3 linked regions of the Saccharomyces cerevisiae S288C genome follow. Changing the gene in region 1 together with any one later gene gives a genetic interaction. Each region holds a gene or a part of one and is shown on either strand. Other genes may lie near its edges.

What was found.
Region 2: mutations in RPN10 (region 1) and SWI4 together harm fitness more than expected from each alone (negative genetic interaction), as found in Saccharomyces cerevisiae (5 studies listed by BioGRID, with this or other methods).
Region 3: mutations in RPN10 (region 1) and RUB1 together harm fitness more than expected from each alone (negative genetic interaction), as found in Saccharomyces cerevisiae (6 studies listed by BioGRID, with this or other methods).

What each region holds. Positions count from the first base shown.
Region 1 is NC_001140.6:497,170-503,597, forward strand, and holds RPN10 (proteasome regulatory particle base subunit RPN10), read left to right. Parts: upstream 1-1,909; coding exon 1,910-2,716; downstream 2,717-6,428. Other genes in the region: AIM18 (Aim18p), read right to left, coding at 1-111; AIM46 (Aim46p), read right to left, coding at 321-1,253; NBL1 (borealin), read right to left, coding at 1,402-1,550, 1,618-1,690; PPX1 (exopolyphosphatase), read right to left, coding at 2,781-3,974; SMN1 (Smn1p), read left to right, coding at 5,219-6,428. UniProt on the Saccharomyces cerevisiae protein: Multiubiquitin binding protein.
Region 2 is NC_001137.3:380,116-387,745, forward strand, and holds SWI4 (SBF complex DNA-binding subunit SWI4), read right to left. Parts: upstream 5,762-7,630; coding exon 2,480-5,761; downstream 1-2,479. Other genes in the region: karyopherin KAP123, read right to left, coding at 1-1,988; U6 snRNA complex subunit LSM4, read left to right, coding at 7,117-7,630. UniProt on the Saccharomyces cerevisiae protein: Part of a complex involved in cell-cycle-dependent transcription. SWI4 and SWI6 are required for formation of the cell-cycle box factor-DNA complex. The repeated element in the upstream region of HO (5'-CACGAAAA-3') is called the cell cycle box (CCB).
Region 3 is NC_001136.10:731,139-735,506, forward strand, and holds RUB1 (NEDD8 family protein RUB1), read right to left. Parts: upstream 2,787-4,368; coding exon 2,638-2,786; intron 2,565-2,637; coding exon 2,480-2,564; downstream 1-2,479. Other genes in the region: HPR1 (Hpr1p), read left to right, coding at 1-1,698; MTQ2 (S-adenosylmethionine-dependent methyltransferase), read left to right, coding at 3,000-3,665; DOP1 (Dop1p), read right to left, coding at 3,763-4,368. UniProt on the Saccharomyces cerevisiae protein: Ubiquitin-like protein modifier that can be covalently attached to lysine residues of target proteins. Activated by the dimeric UBA3-ULA1 E1 enzyme and conjugated by the E2 UBC12 to substrate proteins.

The sequences.
Region 1 (6,428 bases):
AGTAAAATTTCTTTTGAAACATTGCCAATGGTTGGTTGATGGAGATTTCTGACATTTAGCTAGTGTTCGCTGGAGTGATTTTAGCATATTGGCGCACCTTCCTCTGTCCATGAAGGGATTCTATCGCGGTTGTAACGCCGTAAGAGTTTTGAATTGATTTTTTCTTGTCAAAACCGAATAGCATTGTAAACATTTTGAGGGGTCCCTCCTAGAAAAATTGAGTCGAAAGGAAACTCAAAAAAACATCATTAGAGTATATGTGCAGCTTTTGGAACAGCGTATGTATTATGTAATTGTATGTAGAAGTCGGCGAAAGTGTCCTAAGATAGAGAGACGAGTGCATCGATTACTTCCTTCCTAGCCTCCGGAGAAGGAGGATCCACAGCAGCTAGGTAGTGGGCAAATAAGAGCTTTCCAATAAGGGGTTCCTTCACTGTGCCCAATATCACAAATTCATCCTTCTTTCTTGCGTAGTAAGACAAATTCATAGAGCAGTCCTTATTCAGCTCAATGAAAAAATCATCATCTCGAGCCACAAGTCCTTTTACGCTCCTGAAACAGTCATGCAATTCTTGGAATCCAGCTTCCAGCCGGTCTTTGTCTTGAGACTGAGAATCTGGGTTCTTTAGGACGCTCTTTTTGGTGCCGTCCATCAATAACTTGAAGGAACCTGCTTTTATCGGAGTATTCTTGGACATTAGTCTGATTCCGCTGTCTAAGAGGTTATTAATCAGGATAGGGGCCTTAGCAGGATCGTTCAAAGCCGCACGCAAATTATCCTGATGTGAGTTTTCCGGTGATGGGGGTGCCGCAGTGTCGATGAACGCCTGAGACAGGAACTTTGAGTCCAGTACTTCAGAGACCAGATGTTTGTCTTCAGCGGCCACATATATGCCCAGACCATATGCTTTGAAAGTGATCGATGAGACACAACGTACACCCTTACCAATCAGCTCATATTGCGTGGAGAAGGGCCACTGTGGGGGGCCCATCTTCTTAGGGAACGCAGAGATGGATGCGTCCACTGCAACGCTGGTGGCATCCGCCTTTTTGATCTGGGAATCGTCATACCATTTCTTCGCGAATATGGATGCCAGTGCTAACCCTGTTAACACAGGCACTACTTTGCTGCCCTTCTTGTTCACACGAGCATTGCCCGCTGTAGTAGAGTAGTGAGAATACCATTGTGGGGCCCTCCTCATACCTACCTCTAGGCAATTTGTTTTCACCAAAACTTTACTGATTAAACGCATGTTTCCATATACCTGGCCTTCTGCTAAGTAGACATGTATTCAACAAGGGGATGTAACCACACGCTGCTTTAATACCAACAAATCGGCCGCTGATTAGTAATAGGTGCATCATTGCGAATACCGAGAAAGGGTCCATTATACGAACTAATCATTCTATACGGCGTCCTTCCTGTTCAAGCACCTCTCTGATTAGTTCCTTTGATTGAGGCGCTGATGTTGCATCAGGCTGCTGGAGCAGATTTAGTTTCTTTAACGTCTCCTCTTTAATATTTTCGATCAGTTTTTCTGTTGTTTCCACTGAGGTTGTGTTAGTAATTAGTGCGGGTGAAGGTTGGGGGTAGAGTGTTGCGGTGAGGTGACATACGTTCCAGCTGCATTCGATGTAGTATTGCGCTGCGCAACTTCTGCCGTTCTTCGGGAGTGAGAGCCGGTATCATCGTAACCGAGTGCGGCAGCTGCCCTTTTGCTGATGTTGTTGCCACTTCTTGTTTACAATTGTATTCTCTTGAAGTTATATGGCATTATAGCTGCCGGGTTATTTCCGCCAGGCGGGTTTTCGCCACCGGAATTTACAACTAAATACACACTTATATCAGACTTTTAAAGCGTAAAGAAAGAAGGGAAAAGTCAATAAATAACTCAGCAGTAACCGCACAATGGTATTGGAAGCTACAGTGTTAGTGATTGATAATTCAGAGTACTCTCGCAATGGCGACTTTCCTAGGACAAGGTTTGAAGCCCAGATCGACTCGGTAGAGTTCATATTTCAAGCCAAGAGAAACAGCAATCCTGAGAATACAGTGGGTCTTATCTCTGGTGCTGGCGCCAACCCCAGGGTGTTATCTACGTTTACCGCCGAGTTTGGGAAGATTCTTGCTGGACTACACGACACGCAGATCGAGGGTAAGCTGCATATGGCCACTGCGTTGCAGATCGCTCAGCTGACTTTGAAGCATCGCCAGAATAAGGTCCAACATCAAAGGATTGTGGCATTTGTGTGTAGCCCAATAAGTGATTCTCGAGACGAATTGATCAGATTGGCAAAAACACTGAAAAAGAATAATGTTGCCGTGGACATCATCAATTTTGGAGAGATTGAACAGAACACGGAGCTTTTGGATGAGTTCATAGCTGCAGTGAACAACCCTCAAGAAGAAACTAGTCATTTGCTTACTGTGACGCCTGGCCCCAGACTGCTGTACGAGAACATCGCATCTTCACCCATAATTCTCGAAGAAGGATCCTCCGGTATGGGCGCCTTTGGTGGGTCTGGCGGTGATTCCGATGCCAATGGCACATTTATGGACTTCGGGGTAGACCCATCAATGGACCCAGAACTGGCAATGGCCTTGCGTCTGTCTATGGAAGAAGAGCAGCAAAGACAGGAAAGGTTAAGACAGCAGCAACAACAACAAGATCAGCCTGAGCAGTCTGAACAGCCTGAACAACACCAAGACAAATAGTAGTGTACAAAAATATCTATATGGGTCATATATAAACCAAATAAAGCATATATAACATCTCCCTTCACTCTTCCAGGTTTGAGTACGCTTCCTCTAAATAGGGGACGACTTGCTTTCTGGTGGCCTCGACGTTCAGTTGCTTAAACATCGCCACACCTCCATCAAGATTGCCCCCAAATAATTGAAGTTGGAGCTTGTCGCTAACCCTTTCAATGAGTTCACGTACCACGTTAGAGTCTCCCAATATGACCAATTCTCTGTGTGAATCACCAGCTTTCCTCCATGAAGTCAACAGAACCAATACATCGAGCCCCCTCTCCGCCTGAAATCTTCTGCATTGGTTGACGAAATCTGCTTCACCACCGTGTTCATTGAATAGCCAAGACATTCTTTTTACTATTGATGAAAGACCAATCTCTAACCCTTTGTGTCCCTTTCCTTGGAAATTGAATTGTTTGTAGTCCTTCTTTAGAATATCGCTTACCGAAAATCCTTTAATATCGTTCTTTCTTGATTTTATCTCTTTATAAAACTCACTGCTGTCCTCTAAACCTTGCGCAGACACTTCATTAACCGCACCACTAAGAACAGCTTGGCATCTCTCGATAGCTAATTTATCACTTTCCTCGACTTTGCGCCTCATATTTGAAGTGTCTATTAAGATGGCCCCCATCAAAAGTGGTGCAATGTTCATCACCACTTCACGGTCACCTTGCAATTTTTCATACCAGTAGTTAAAAACCAGCGATGAGCAACTGCCGGACACTTTTACAATCCGAGGTTCAGCATCCAAATGTTTTTGCAAGTCAAAATGGTGGTCTATAATGCCAACGACGTTATCTATATAATTTTTCAAATTCTTTGGTGTATCGTTATTATCTACCAAGTAAGAGTTTAATTCAGTACCCTGGGAGACATTTTGCTTCAAGCTCTTTAAATCTTCAATGAAGAATAATTCCTCCTCCTTAATTTTCAGTTTTTCTAGGACATACATTACGTCTCTTCTTAAACTGAGGTCTTCTCTAGGAATGTCGATAATTGGGACAATAAAGCTTCCTTTCTTTTTCTCCTCCGAGTAAGTACCTTCATTATATATGTATTGGCAGTACGAATAAGTGATTGCACTAGCAATTGAGTCCATATCTGCTGACTCGTTACCAACACATATTGTTAACACATCGTTGCTTGCAATTTTTGAAATTGGCAGTGATTTTAAGTGTGCCAAAAATTCAGGAACCGTCTTTCTCAAAGGCGACATCTTTCTTAACAATCGGTGTTTTGAACTTTTTGATTATTTGTTTCAAGTGGCTTTAGTTAATTATGTACACTTCGTTTCTTTTTTCTACTCTTAAAAGTGAAAAAAATGAAAAATCAGCGGCATGTATAGCATACAGATAATAGGAAAAAGGTTGTGAGTTATTCTTCGAGACTATTTCGACTCGTATTCTAAATTAGAATTCAAGTAGGTGGATAATGTGACAAAATGAATGAAGGTTAGAGCTTTACACAGAGTATTATCCTCGGCGTTTTCTATCAAAGCTTCTGGTTATTCCATACTTTTTTCAAGGACAGCAGAAACATATGCCATTTTACACCTCCTGGGAAAATAATTTGTAATTTTCTAGTGACTCAATGCTTGTTGAAAGTGATCTTGTATAATGAGTGTACACATGAGATGTGCAAATTTCTTCATTACTTAGCGAGAAGTGTACACTCTTGAATATAATAACACTAACAGTGGAATCATCGGTAATAATAATACTATTGATCGTAGTGAAAGCAAAACACGACTGTACTTGAGTTATAAATTTTGTTGCTGTAGAAATTTCAGTGATCATTCATTAGCAACTTATTAAGATGACGATTATATTTTACGGTTCTTTTCACAAACCATTATACTTGCTAAAGGTTGTAAAAGTCATACACTTTTTAACATCAAGATTTCAGTACAACAATTTCTTACATGTAAAATCGTTTGCAAATTAAGTTCGCCAAATTGTATCTTAATTAAAATCTATGTGTTCAGAAGTTGAATATTGGTAAAAAGAAACAAAATGTATAAACGAACGAAAAAGGAAGTGATCAAAATAGAGTAAGGAACCAAGGCATTAGGTTCACCCGAACGTTATCATATATACGCTCATATTATTCCAAGAAAGACACATTTGTCTAGATAGGTTTCGGTAAAGGCGTCCGTAGTTAGAGAGTAGATGGCACTAACTTGAAAGCAGGAAAACAAACAATTGTGTTCCAGAGCAAACTCGAACTTTCTATCTGAACCATTGCATGACGTAAAATTATTATTACAACCATAATGAAACATTTCTACAGTATATCTTTAATATTATTTTTTACTTTAGTGTCCTTATCGATCAGTCGCTCTTTCGCCAACTAGCCGCCAATTGCAAAAGCCGATAAGCTTATTTCCCCTCAAGCCGTCAACAAGAACTACAGCAATAACAAAGAGAGTGAATGCAATAAAGGTGTGCGCAACAGTGTAAAATGATACTAAAGCTTGTACACTGTTTAGTTGCTCTTACAGGATTAATCTTTGCAAAGCCGTATCAACAACAACAGGCAGTTTTAGCGCCGTCGCAGGATGTACCATTAAGAGATATCCATATAGGGGATATAAATTTTATCCATACAACCGATACTCATGGCTGGTTGGGGTCCCATCTATCACAAAACGACTATGATGCTGACTGGGGAGATTTCGTTGCATTTGTAGATATACTTAGAGAAAAAATTTTACGACAGTCCAGAGACGTAATAGTCATCGACACTGGCGACAAACGAGACGGTAATGGTTTGAGTGATGCTACTTGGCCCCCCGGCCTACGAAGCTCGGAGATATTCAACATGATGGATTACGATCTTTTAACGTTAGGTAATCATGAGCTATATACAGCTGAAAGTGCCATACTAGAGTATAGAGGAACTTCTCAGTCCTCAAAATTCAAAGACAAATATGTTTGCAGCAACGTAGAATTTATTGAAGATGACGGAACAAGGGTTCCTTTCGGGAATAAATACATTACATTCGAGACTCCCATAATGAAACAAAGAGTCCTGGCATTATCATTTTTGTTTAGTTTTCAAAGAGCAAATAACAGAGCCATCGTAACACCACCATTGGAAGAAATAACTCAAAAAAGCTGGTTCCAAAATATGGTTGAGACAAACAGAGAGGAGGAAATCGACCTAATTATTGTCTTTGGTCATTTGCCTGCCACTGACCCTACAGAGCGTGAAATGCACAAAATTCATGCTCTAATAAGGAAATACTACCCAAATACTGTTATACAATATTTTGGAGGGCACACTCATATCAGGGATTTTGTACAGCTGGACTCAAAATCTACTTGTTTACAAAGTGGTAGATTTGCGGAAACTGTGGGATTCTTGTCAATTAATATGACTGACCCTGTGGACGCCGAAAGTCCTATTTTCTCAAGAAGGTATATTGACTTTAACAAGGAAGCTTTCAAATACCATTTGAGCAAACTAGGGCATGACTCGAATGTTCCAGTCTCAACGAAAAAGGGTAAAACTATTTCTCGTTTGGTGAATGATCTGCGCCATGAACTAAATTTGAACGAGAAACTGGGGTACATTCCTCAAACTTACTACGTTTCAACAAGGCCATTAAACTCCGAAGAGAATCTTTATCATTTGATCACGCATAAGATTTTACCCAATTTAATTCCTC
Region 2 (7,630 bases), on another chromosome or scaffold:
GAAATACCAGTGTTAACGGTGAATTTGTTCTGTAGTTCTTCTTCATTGGCAGAATCAGCAAATGCGGCTAAATCCTCTGCATCACCATCGAAGTTGAATTGGTATTCATCTAATTCTAGTGTCTTGAAGATTTCTGGTAGGATAGTTTTCAAGAAAGGAGCAAAATTTTCGCCGTAAACTTTAGCCAAGTTTGCAATGAATGCATAACCAGATTCTCTTAATCTAGCAGAATCAGTTTTGATGGCCTCATAGGCGGAGTTAACCAAAGGTTCGGCAAATTCGGCAAATGCGTCTGATCTGACGGCTCTGGCCATAGTAGAAATATTTTCAAAAGTGTTGGCCCTTAGTTCTATATCATCTTCGCTCATACCTTCAATTTGAGAACAGTTTTGGATGAATTTTTCCAAATAGTGAACACTAGTCTTGAAATATGGAATGAACGCGGAACCTGCTGCAAAAGCAGCGGAACCAATTGCAGAAACAACAGCACATCTCAACTTGGATGATTCATTACTTTCCAACATATAGAATAGTTTGTTCATTAATGGATCCAAGTACTTAGCGATAGCATCATAAGCAATGAACTCAAGCAGACCATCTAAAGCAACAGTTGCATAGTTGTAAATGACAATGTTTTTCGCAGAATCAATGATATCGATGATCAATGGCAAGTATTCTTCATGAAATTTGGCAACTTCGTCTTGTAAGTCAGTGGTTAATTGGTGAATACACTTCAGAGCAGCTAATTTAACAATCGGTTCAGTATCCTTCAAACCGTTTATGGTGGCAGGGATAATTTTGTCGAATTGAGACAAAATGTAGTCTGGAGAACCAGTAACAGCAACGGAAATAGCTAAAAGAATAGCTCTTCTCTCAAAAACGTTTGCGGATTGCAACATAGCTGGAATGTGTTCAACAATAACGGAAGCAACCTGGGATGGTGGCAGTTCAGAGGAAGCGAAAGCTAACAGTCTAATAGCAGAAGAAGAGGGTGTATTTTCCTCATTTTCGCCTGTTTCGTCTTCGTTGTTTAATTCATCGTCAACATCGATCTCTTCACAAGCCACCTTCAAAGCTGCAACAGTAATTTCTGGGCCCAATTTGCTTTGAGAAACCTTCGATTTTCTGTAGGACAATGAAGATATGATGAATTGAAGAGCAAAAACTCGAACATCTTCGTCAATCTCACTGTTAACAGCAATTTGTAAAGACAGCTTAATCAAATCCACAATAAAGTTTCCTGTTAATTGGGAGTCCAATAGCAGGAAATCGTTTAAACAGTTAAAGATTAATTTAGCGTTCATGGTGTCGTCGGCCTTGATAACTGCGTCTAAAACGTTAACCACAGATGGAATTGAGGCGGCGAATTTTTGAGCTTGAACAGGGTTGATGGTTTCTTGTTCTTCAATCAAAGCAGAAACGTGGTTCAAAGCCTGGGCAGATAATGATCTGATCTCCAAAGAAGATGGATCATTAATTGTCTGAGAGAACAAAGCCAAAAAGTCATCGATGTGGCCAGATAGAGAAGAGGTGAAATCTTCCAACAGAGAAAACAAAATAAAAATGGCAGTTTGTCTTGTTTGAACGTCTTCACCAGAAGCAGTTTGGATTAGGTTAGGGACTAAATCTGGCCATTTGTTACCATCTAGCTCTTCAGTACCAATAGAAGCAATTACTCGAGCGTTGGAATGACGAACATTTTCTTTTGGCTCACTAAATGCTGTTTGTAAAAGAGATGTTTTGATGGAGGCTCTAGTGGATTCATCAATGGCGTTCCAGTGCTTGGAAACCAACTTTCTAGCTTCAACACCAGCTAGTTGTTTCAACGAATCATCGGAGCCGTTCTGCAAAATATGAATCAAAGCTGGCAAAGTTGTAGGCTGGGTATAAAATTGAGTTTGCAAAGTTTTTGTAGCCTCCTTCAAGCCTACACCAGAAGTGATAGCGTGCAAAGTTTGCTCAAGTTGACTTAGAAATTGTTGATCCATTATACTACTTGATACTAAAAAAGTGTTTTTCGTCCCTCAGTTTTTATGCTGCTAAGGCAGGATTTTGGTAATATACAGAAACGAGAAGAAGGATCCTTGCGGGGTCTTGCCTATTCTTTTTTGTTGACTAATAAAATCAATACCAAACCTGACAACAAATAAAATGAAGGATCTATGGATAAGTGGATGTTTCTATTTTTTTTTTTTTTTTTTTTTTTTTCGACCTCATCTCATCGCGCTTTCCATTCATCATATTGTACGAAAACAAAGCACAATCGTAATAAAAGACATCCTGATAATTAGCAAAGGGCTAACCATAATAGTCTAAGTTTAGTAGTTCAAATGTTTGTTGACATGCACTTGAAGCAACTCAAGCGCAATGAGAAAAGTGACTATACAAATATGTAAAAAATTGCTACCAAAAAAAAAAAAAAAAAATTTAAAAACTCTGATAATATAGTAAAAATTATTGGTACATTGTGAATTAAAATTTATGCGTTTGCCCTCAAATCCTTTTCTATATCGTCCAATTTTGAGTCAATGTTCTCAATTGTGATACCAATCAAGTTTCTGTATTTATCTAACTTCACCGATGAATTAATTTTGCTTTTAGCTTCGCTTATTTTCAATGTTGTCATCCTTCTTTTAAACTGTAGAATAGTTAGTTCCGTTGCTAGTCTCAACGTCTCATTTACATCATATGATTCTTGTACAGTATTAGAAAATTTGGCGTCCGCTTTGGTGTTTTTAGGAGAAGAAGTTTCCGACGTTGACTTTGGAATTGGCTCTTCATCTTCCTGTTTTTCTGGATGTGAACTTGAGTTAGTATTCATATCAACCTTTGATTCCTCATCCTGGACAATTGTAGCCAGTTTTAAAGCTTGAGATTTTTCCAAGCTTTGAATAAAATTTTGCTTTTCAGAATTCAACTTTGACGATGTTTCTTTAATCCTTGATTGTAAATCTGATATCGAATTTATGGGAGTTTTGTTTGATACGGAATCGAAAGCATCCTCTATTTGATGTGCTATTGTAATCAATCTCTTCTTATTGTTAGAAATAGAGGATTCGGTTTCTACTACTTCGTTGTCCAGATTTTTAATTTCTTCACCCATTATTCTTTGTAGAGAAGAAACTTTTGTATTTAATTTGTTGATCTGCTGCGAAAGCGGTTTTGAGTACTTTCCTAGTGGAGACATCTGTATCGGCAGAAGGGAAGAAGGCGATTCCAATGATGGCATGGCAGTTTTCACACTATTCAAGGGATCCTTTTTCTTTTCAACTTGATTCTCATTATCCTTTGCCTTTTCTTTTTCATCTGATATTGACTGTGATCTTCTTCTGTATAAAATGGGAGAGTTTTCAAGAATTTTGGACGGCGTAGACTTTATATCTTTAATGACAGACGACGTCACGAAAGAATTAATATTCGACAAGTCTTCCATAATAGTGTTCATATTTGTAGAATTTGGCTGGTTGGAATGCAGGTATTGACTTTCGTTGACTTCAGAATCTGTTTTAGCTATATTGACATCTGCAGTAGAATCTTCTTTATCAGGATGTTGAGTTTTTATAATTTTTGGAATTTTGACATTGTTTTGTGGTTGCTGTTGCTGTTGCTGTTGTTGGTAATAATTCTTTTGAGGAAGGTTTCGAGCTAACTTTCGATCTGCCTTGGTGTTGTTGTTTCTGCTGTTTGACCCGCCAGCCGGAGTATTAAACTTATTCATTATTGACGCAGGCGATTCGTTATCTAGATTCAATATATCTGTTGACGCACCAAGATATACCAGTCTGTTGTAAACCTCGAAGTTCAAGTTTAAAGCAGATAAATGCAGTGGAGTGTTCCCTATATTATCTTGGTAGTTCAAACATATCTTCAACAAATTGTAGTCCTGCTGACCCAAGCTCAATATTATCGAATCCATATAAGATTTTATTATCATTGGATTTTTGGACTTATTAACGCTCAATTCAATTAAATAATGAAATGGCAATCTTCCATTTACGTCGGGAGTTATAAGACATATTTTTAAGATGGATATTATTTCATCGAAAGCATTCTCCTTGTAGCAATTGTTGTAGAAAATTGATTTTGTGATGCAATTAAAACCGAGCTTATTACACTGTAATGCATTAGCATTTAAGGTAATTAGCATTTTTATCAAAGGAATATTCGCCATAGCTGTAGCCCAATGGAGTGGAGTGTGACCTTGATCATCAATTTCAAAATTTATGTTAAAATTTTTGGGCGCCGGATATAAAGTAGCCAACAACGCTTGATCTACATCAGAAGACCTTTCCGATGATAGTATTGTTAATATCGTCTGCTTGTATTCTTGATCTGTCATTTTGTTTTCCAACTTGTTTTGAGATGAAGTATTTCCTGCGCTGAACGGTGTCATAGATCGTGAAGACATATTCATACTGTTATCATTTTCATTTGATGAAAATACTTCAATGGAGGAGCCATTGGATGCTACAGTGTTGTTGTTATTGTTGCTGCCGTTACTGTCACAGTACTCATTATGGTGATCATTTGGATTTTGAAAGGATTGCCATAATAAGGGTTGCTTCATTAATTTGAAATGCCTTTGTATTTTTTCTTGCTGGTTGTAAAATTGTTGTTCATTAGATTGATTCAGCTTTTTCCTCCTTTTTTTACTATTGCCATTTGTAATGGAGTCCATCATGGAATGATTGAAGTTATTCGTCAAATATTCATGATGATGTTGTTGTTGTTGTTGGCTTTGCATAGGTCCGTCTGGAACTATGATCAAGTTATTATTATTGCCATTATTATTGTTATTACTGCTGTTAATGACATTGTCGATGTTATGGCTGTAACTATTACTGTCATTATTATTAGGGTTATTCAGAGCAACGTTCTTGTTTTGTAAATTTGTCGGAATTGGAAAAAATTGAAGAGGTTTCTGAGTTGCCGAATAATTATTATTGAAAGAGTTTTCATGAATGGATTTTTGTTGTTGAATAATAGTAGATTGATTGCTGTTGTTACTAATATTATTTATTAAATTGTGTCTTGTGTCATTGTTGAAATTCATCGTGGTGTGGTTATCATTATTGTTCATTATATTCATTGATGAATTTACTTGGAACTGTTGAGGAGTTTGGAAAACAAGGTTTTGTAAAGGACTTGGATTCGGCTGGTTGATCGATGCATTTTTCTTGCCTTTCTTATTCGCAGCTGTAGTTGTAGCCGATGTTGATGAACTACTGTTCTTTTTTCTTGGTGTTTTATTGTAGCTCGATGGAGAAGTTATCTTCGTTCCCGGCGAAGTCTTCCTCAATATACTATTTTTGCTTCTCTTTGGTGGAGGGTTATTTGGATCGAATTGAAAAGTTAAGATGGAGTTGACCACAGGGTCAATTATTTCGTACTTATTGACTAAAAACTTCGCTGAATCCAGTGGGATCCAAGTACCTTGAAACCTACCATACCCACCTTGAACTTTTTCATGTTGCATATCATTTGATTCCTTTTCCAGTATTTTAGTTCTTTTCGTCTTCGAAAATTGAGCTATTTTGAAAACCTGGGTAATATTAATCCAATCATCTTTAGTTCTTCTCATCACTATTTTAGTTTCAAACCCACGTATATAGCATTCGTATACATCGGTTTCTGAATACGTAGCTATTTCAATCACTGGATGGTTTGAATGAGGCGCCAAAAGAACTGATTTTGATATTGGCGTGATGTTCTGGTGATTGGTATTATCTTTTTGGTTTGATATCAAAACATCAAATGGCATGATTTCTCGAATAAATCAACCTTTTAGAACTACGCAAGAGGGACAGAAGGGAAATGAGAAAGAAAGAAGAGTTAATTTTCGGCAAAGAGCAATTATTGTTGACAATATATCAAATAACGTGAAATAATGTACCTTTTTTTCAAAGGGTAAGTGGAGGAAGAATCGTTTGAAAAAGCGACGACCAATGCTAGATGTGATTCTGCTGTAACAACAATTAATAGTAAAAATAACACAATACACTAAAGAGTTTCTTTTTTTATTATCTCGAAAAAAAAAAAAGCTTCCAGTTGAATTTAGCAGCAAATATTAGTCAATTAGTTGATATGCTAAACCAATGCTAAAGGATGGCAATAACTATAATATCTTTTGTGCGTTTTTCACGTTGACGTGCTTCTTAGTCCTTGTTCCTCTTTTTTTTTTGTTAGGTTAACCATTTATTTCCTAAACGGGAAATAAGCAGGCGGGGAGCTGAATATAATTAACTTTCGCGTCATGGTTAGTGACGCGTCACTTCAAACGCGGGTAACAAAATCAAGTTGTTTTTAGCCGCCGAAGGTAATTGTATCCATAATGAAGGCTAGATTAAACCAATAATTTGTAGTGACAAAATTTATAGTCAGTAGCAGGTTCTCTTTAAATTGAGAGATTTCGACAGCCTTTTACTAGATGTCTAGTTTAGTAAAACTAATTTTCGTATGCTGCTAAACGACCTAAGATCCGCAGTCACCTATCGTTTAAAGTACGCAGTCACAATGCGGTTGAAATGTAATGTACTTATATTACCTCCTTCTTAAGTAACATTTCATTTTTTCCGCCACCGTACACAGAGTAATTGCTTCGTTCGTTATCTACTTGTACTGAAGTCCCTCTAAACCTACTGCCTTTTATTTTTAGGCTCTAAAATAACCATGGACAACGTGAATTGGGTAGCATCTTTTTTTTAATAGATAGTTTATTATGTATAACAATAATTTAAAGATATTCATAGTGATAAGTAATTTTAAATGAGTTTAAAGTACTACTTTTCCTTTACCGCCAGTTTCCTGTACTATGAAAAAGGCAAATTCCGCATTGTAGCCGCCCACACGCATTTTGATCATCAATTACGAAATTTGCCGCACACGTGTCACGTGATAAGCACTCTTACTATCATGTTTTACGGAGTAGCAATGATGTTCAATTATTGCAGCTTTCTTTCGTGAAATCGTAGTATCATAGACCTTCCTAATGATGGAAGCGGTAAAGAAGGAAATCGTAAAAGTAAATTAACGAAGTAGTATTAGTAAAACAGAGTTGAAAAACTGATAAATCTTCAACTCGAACTGAAAAGAAACACAATAGAATATTTTTTCTCAATGCTACCTTTATATCTTTTAACAAATGCGAAGGGACAACAAATGCAAATAGAATTGAAAAACGGTGAAATTATACAAGGGATATTGACCAACGTAGATAACTGGATGAACCTTACTTTATCTAATGTAACCGAATATAGTGAAGAAAGCGCAATTAATTCAGAAGACAATGCTGAGAGCAGTAAAGCCGTAAAATTGAACGAAATTTATATTAGAGGGACTTTTATCAAGTTTATCAAATTGCAAGATAATATAATTGACAAGGTCAAGCAGCAAATTAACTCCAACAATAACTCTAATAGTAACGGCCCTGGGCATAAAAGATACTACAACAATAGGGATTCAAACAACAATAGAGGTAACTACAACAGAAGAAATAATAATAACGGCAACAGCAACCGCCGTCCATACTCTCAAAACCGTCAATACAACAACAGCAACAGCAGTAACATTAACAACAGTATCAACAGTATCAATAGCAACAACCAAAATATGAACAATGGTTTAGGTGGGT
Region 3 (4,368 bases), on another chromosome or scaffold:
TTAGAGAATAATGACATCCTTAATACCGTCAAACATTATAATATGAAATACAAACTAGAGAACTTTTTATCCGAGCTACTACCTATAAATGAAGAATCGAACTTCAATAGATCCGCTTCTATTTCAGCTTTACAAGAATCTGATAACGAATGGAACAGATCAGCACGTGAACGAGAAAGCAACCGCAGTTCCGACGTTATATTTGCTGCAGATTATAACTTCGTGTTTTATCATCTAATTATTTGCCCGATCGAATTTGCTTTTAGCGATTTAGAATATAAAAATGATGTGGACAGATCATTAAGTCCCCTTCTTGATGCAATCTTGGAAATCGAAGAGAACTTTTACAGCAAAATCAAGATGAACAATAGGACTAGATATTCCTTAGAGGAAGCTCTGAACACTGAGTATTACGCGAATTACGATGTTATGACCCCTAAATTACCCGTGTATATGAAGCATTCAAACGCAATGAAAATGGACAGGAATGAATTTTGGGCGAATCTACAGAATATTAAAGAATCAGATGACTACACTCTTCGACCTACCATTATGGATATCTCTTTGAGCAATACGACCTGCCTTTATAAACAATTGACTCAAGAGGACGATGATTACTACCGCAAACAGTTCATTTTACAACTATGTTTCACAACAAATCTTATACGCAATTTAATTTCTTCTGATGAAACGAGGAATTTCTATAAAAGCTGCTATTTGAGGGAAAACCCGTTGAGCGATATTGATTTTGAGAACCTTGATGAAGTTAACAAAAAGCGTGGGCTCAATTTATGTTCATACATTTGCGACAATCGTGTTTTGAAATTTTATAAAATTAAAGACCCTGACTTTTATCGTGTTATCCGCAAATTAATGTCTTCTGACGAAAAGTTTACAACCGCCAAGATCGATGGCTTTAAAGAATTCCAAAACTTCAGAATATCTAAGGAGAAGATACCGCCACCCGCTTTTGACGAAACTTTTAAAAAGTTTACGTTCATCAAGATGGGGAATAAATTGATTAATAATGTTTGGAAAATACCTACTGGTCTAGATAAAATTGAGCAAGAAGTAAAGAAGCCTGAAGGTGTCTATGAAGCAGCCCAAGCGAAATGGGAATCAAAAATTTCTTCTGAAACTTCCGGTGGAGAAGCGAAAGATGAAATAATCAGACAATGGCAAACTTTACGGTTTCTAAGATCGCGATACTTGTTCGATTTTGATAAAGTTAACGAAAAGACTGGTGTTGATGGTTTGTTCGAGGAACCCAGAAAAGTGGAAGCGTTGGATGATAGTTTCAAAGAGAAACTTTTGTACAAAATCAATCAAGAGCACAGGAAAAAACTTCAGGATGCTAGGGAGTACAAGATTGGAAAGGAAAGAAAGAAGAGGGCACTGGAAGAAGAGGCTTCGTTTCCTGAAAGAGAGCAAAAAATTAAGTCGCAACGTATAAACAGCGCTTCTCAAACAGAAGGAGATGAGTTGAAGAGCGAACAGACGCAACCAAAGGGAGAAATATCAGAAGAGAATACCAAAATAAAAAGCTCGGAAGTTTCTTCGCAAGATCCTGACAGTGGTGTTGCCGGGGAGTTTGCTCCACAGAATACAACAGCTCAACTAGAAAATCCAAAAACAGAAGATAACAATGCAGCTACTTCGAACATTTCTAATGGTTCATCTACCCAAGATATGAAATAAATTATCCTCTTAATAGAAATTTTAAACTGATAAGAAATTCATGCATAGTGTCCCAAACAATTCAGATAGATTTTAGCGTACCACAGAGATCCTATCAGAGAGTAATACTTATGATGAAAACAAAAGTCAATCCATTCGGTTTAAAAAAATGACAAACCTATATTTGATTAGATTAATCAGGCGTCAATAACGTCCTTAGAAGTCCCTTTGCTAAGACTGATATCGTTGGCAAAAGCATGCTCCGAGTTTAGTATATACTTCCACTTGATAAAGTTGTAGCGCAAAGGATGCTTTTCTTAATGAGAAATTCGGTATACTACAAGAGGACATCCAATCGTGCTTACAAAATTGCCCTGGAAGACATGATTGAGAAGAAATGGCGAAATATGTCTTTTGGTCAGATAGTCTGTAATCGCATATAACAGTATGCTTGGTTTGCTCTTTATCACCACGCTTTTCCTCTCTTTCCAGCGCGAACCATGCAATGGCCAGCTTTATGAAATTTAAACCATAAAGTCATATGAGACCAGCAATCAGACCATATATAGCCGTACTATGCTATAACGGATAATTTGATAGATACTAAACAGTTTTAGTTCACATTTCTCGTCTAAAAACAATTAATTTATTATAACAGACTCTATAGACTAAATTGTATGTATTTTTTTTTTTGACAAATTGGGGGCGGTAGCCTTCCAAAGTCCAAGTGAACTTATGTTCGTTTTGTCTTCTTTTCTAATGAACACCTTCGATAAAATTCCATAAATGACGGAAAATGGTTCTAGTTACCACCTCTTAGTGTTAATACCAAGTGGAGTTGCATTCCCTCTACTAGATGTGCATCCGTTACTGTTAATTTATCATCACTATCCTGGTCGTTAGTAAGGTCTCAAAAACGTAAATAAACTTAAAAGATAATTAACCACTGAATGAACATACATTTGTTTTCCCTGGAATATAAGTCTTTGTTGAGATGGTGGAATCCCTTCTTTTTCCTCCAAAAGTTCCTTGATGTGATATACGAGATCTGATTCCTTCAGCTCAACAGAGATCTCCTTCCCAGTCAGTGTCTTCACTTTAACAATCATCGGTTACGGCTGTAAGGAAGTTAATTACCTTCCTTTATTTATTCCTCTGTCGGAATACTTCATTTGAATAACAGAATTTTGGTTTTTCAGCTAAAAGTTGTTCGTTTGCCTTCCCGAAGACGCCATCGGAATTTGATTTCATATAAATATTGATATAATTATACTCTGAAATATAATATTGATAAACTTAACACAGGGTGAGAAAGGTGAAGTATGCTACCGACCCCTTATGTAAAATGCGATTACGATAAAGTATATGAGCCTGCTGAGGATAGCTTCCTCATACTGGACTGTTTGGAAAAAGAGCATGATTTTTTGAAACAGAAATTTGGTAATCGTTTGGCCATCGTTTGCGAAATTGGTTCGGGATCAGGTATCGTCACAACATTTCTAATGCAAAACAAAATAATACCGCAGGAAAATTCCATCCACTTAGCTGTTGATATCAACCCATGGGCGCTCGAAGCAACTTTGGATACTGCGAAGTTAAATTCATGTAAAAGTTCTTTTTTAGAAGTGATTCAAGCTGATTTAAACTCCAGTATTCGGAATAATCAGGTTGATGTCCTAATATTTAACCCACCATATGTGCCAGCAGAATGTGTGCCAGATGTCCCAGGATCAAGAGAGGAGGCAGACCAATGGCTAGATTTAGCGTTATTGGGTGGAAAAGACGGGATGGCGATTACTGATAAACTGCTACGACAATTAGAACAAATTCTTTCTCCAGATGGTGTTGCATATATATTATTTTGTGCAAGAAATAAGCCTAAAGAAGTCATTAAGAGGTTTGTCGATACTTACAAATGGAATGTGAAACTTATTGAAACGAGAAAAGCGGGATGGGAAGTCCTCAGTGTGTACAGCTTTACAAGGTGACAGTTGCAAAACCTTTCACGTTATAATTGATAACCTGTGTCTTTACTCAAAGCGTATAACTATATTTCGGTTTATAAAGAAAAATTCATAGCTATGCTCATGACAGAATATCTTTTTTGAGATCTTCACCACAACCATATAAATCAACTGACCCTAGTCCGTAAACTTTCTCATAATGTAGATAACTCAAATTCTGGAAGAAGCTTCTTAGTTGCGTGTGTCTCTCGATTTTGTGAATGCCTCGTAATAATGGGAGACCATCTTTTAAAGTTGTCGGTAATTCAAGATCATCAGTTTTGGTTATTTCGTAATCTTTGAATTCTGCGATTTCATCTACCAGCGCGACGAATGAGTTCGTTTTATATACGCAATTTATTGTATCAATAACAAAGATCCACTCATTCGTAGAGGTGAAGCCTTCCATGTTGAGTAAGAGTAGCAAATCCAAAGTTTTACATACTTGCAATATTGTTTGTGGATCGACTTCTGACTGTATTTGAAGTGATTCATAAAATTCTTGCAAATTAGTTTGTAAACAGTAACTGATCATAGACCAATAGTCATTGAAATGGGACTCTGAAAATCTTAAAAGTAAAACCCTTAGTAAGATCCAGCAGCTTCCCTTGAGCTTGATATCTTTGGACACCAAATAGTGGAAAATGCAACTTATTAAAGAGGAAAAGTGCAACAAATATGCGTCATT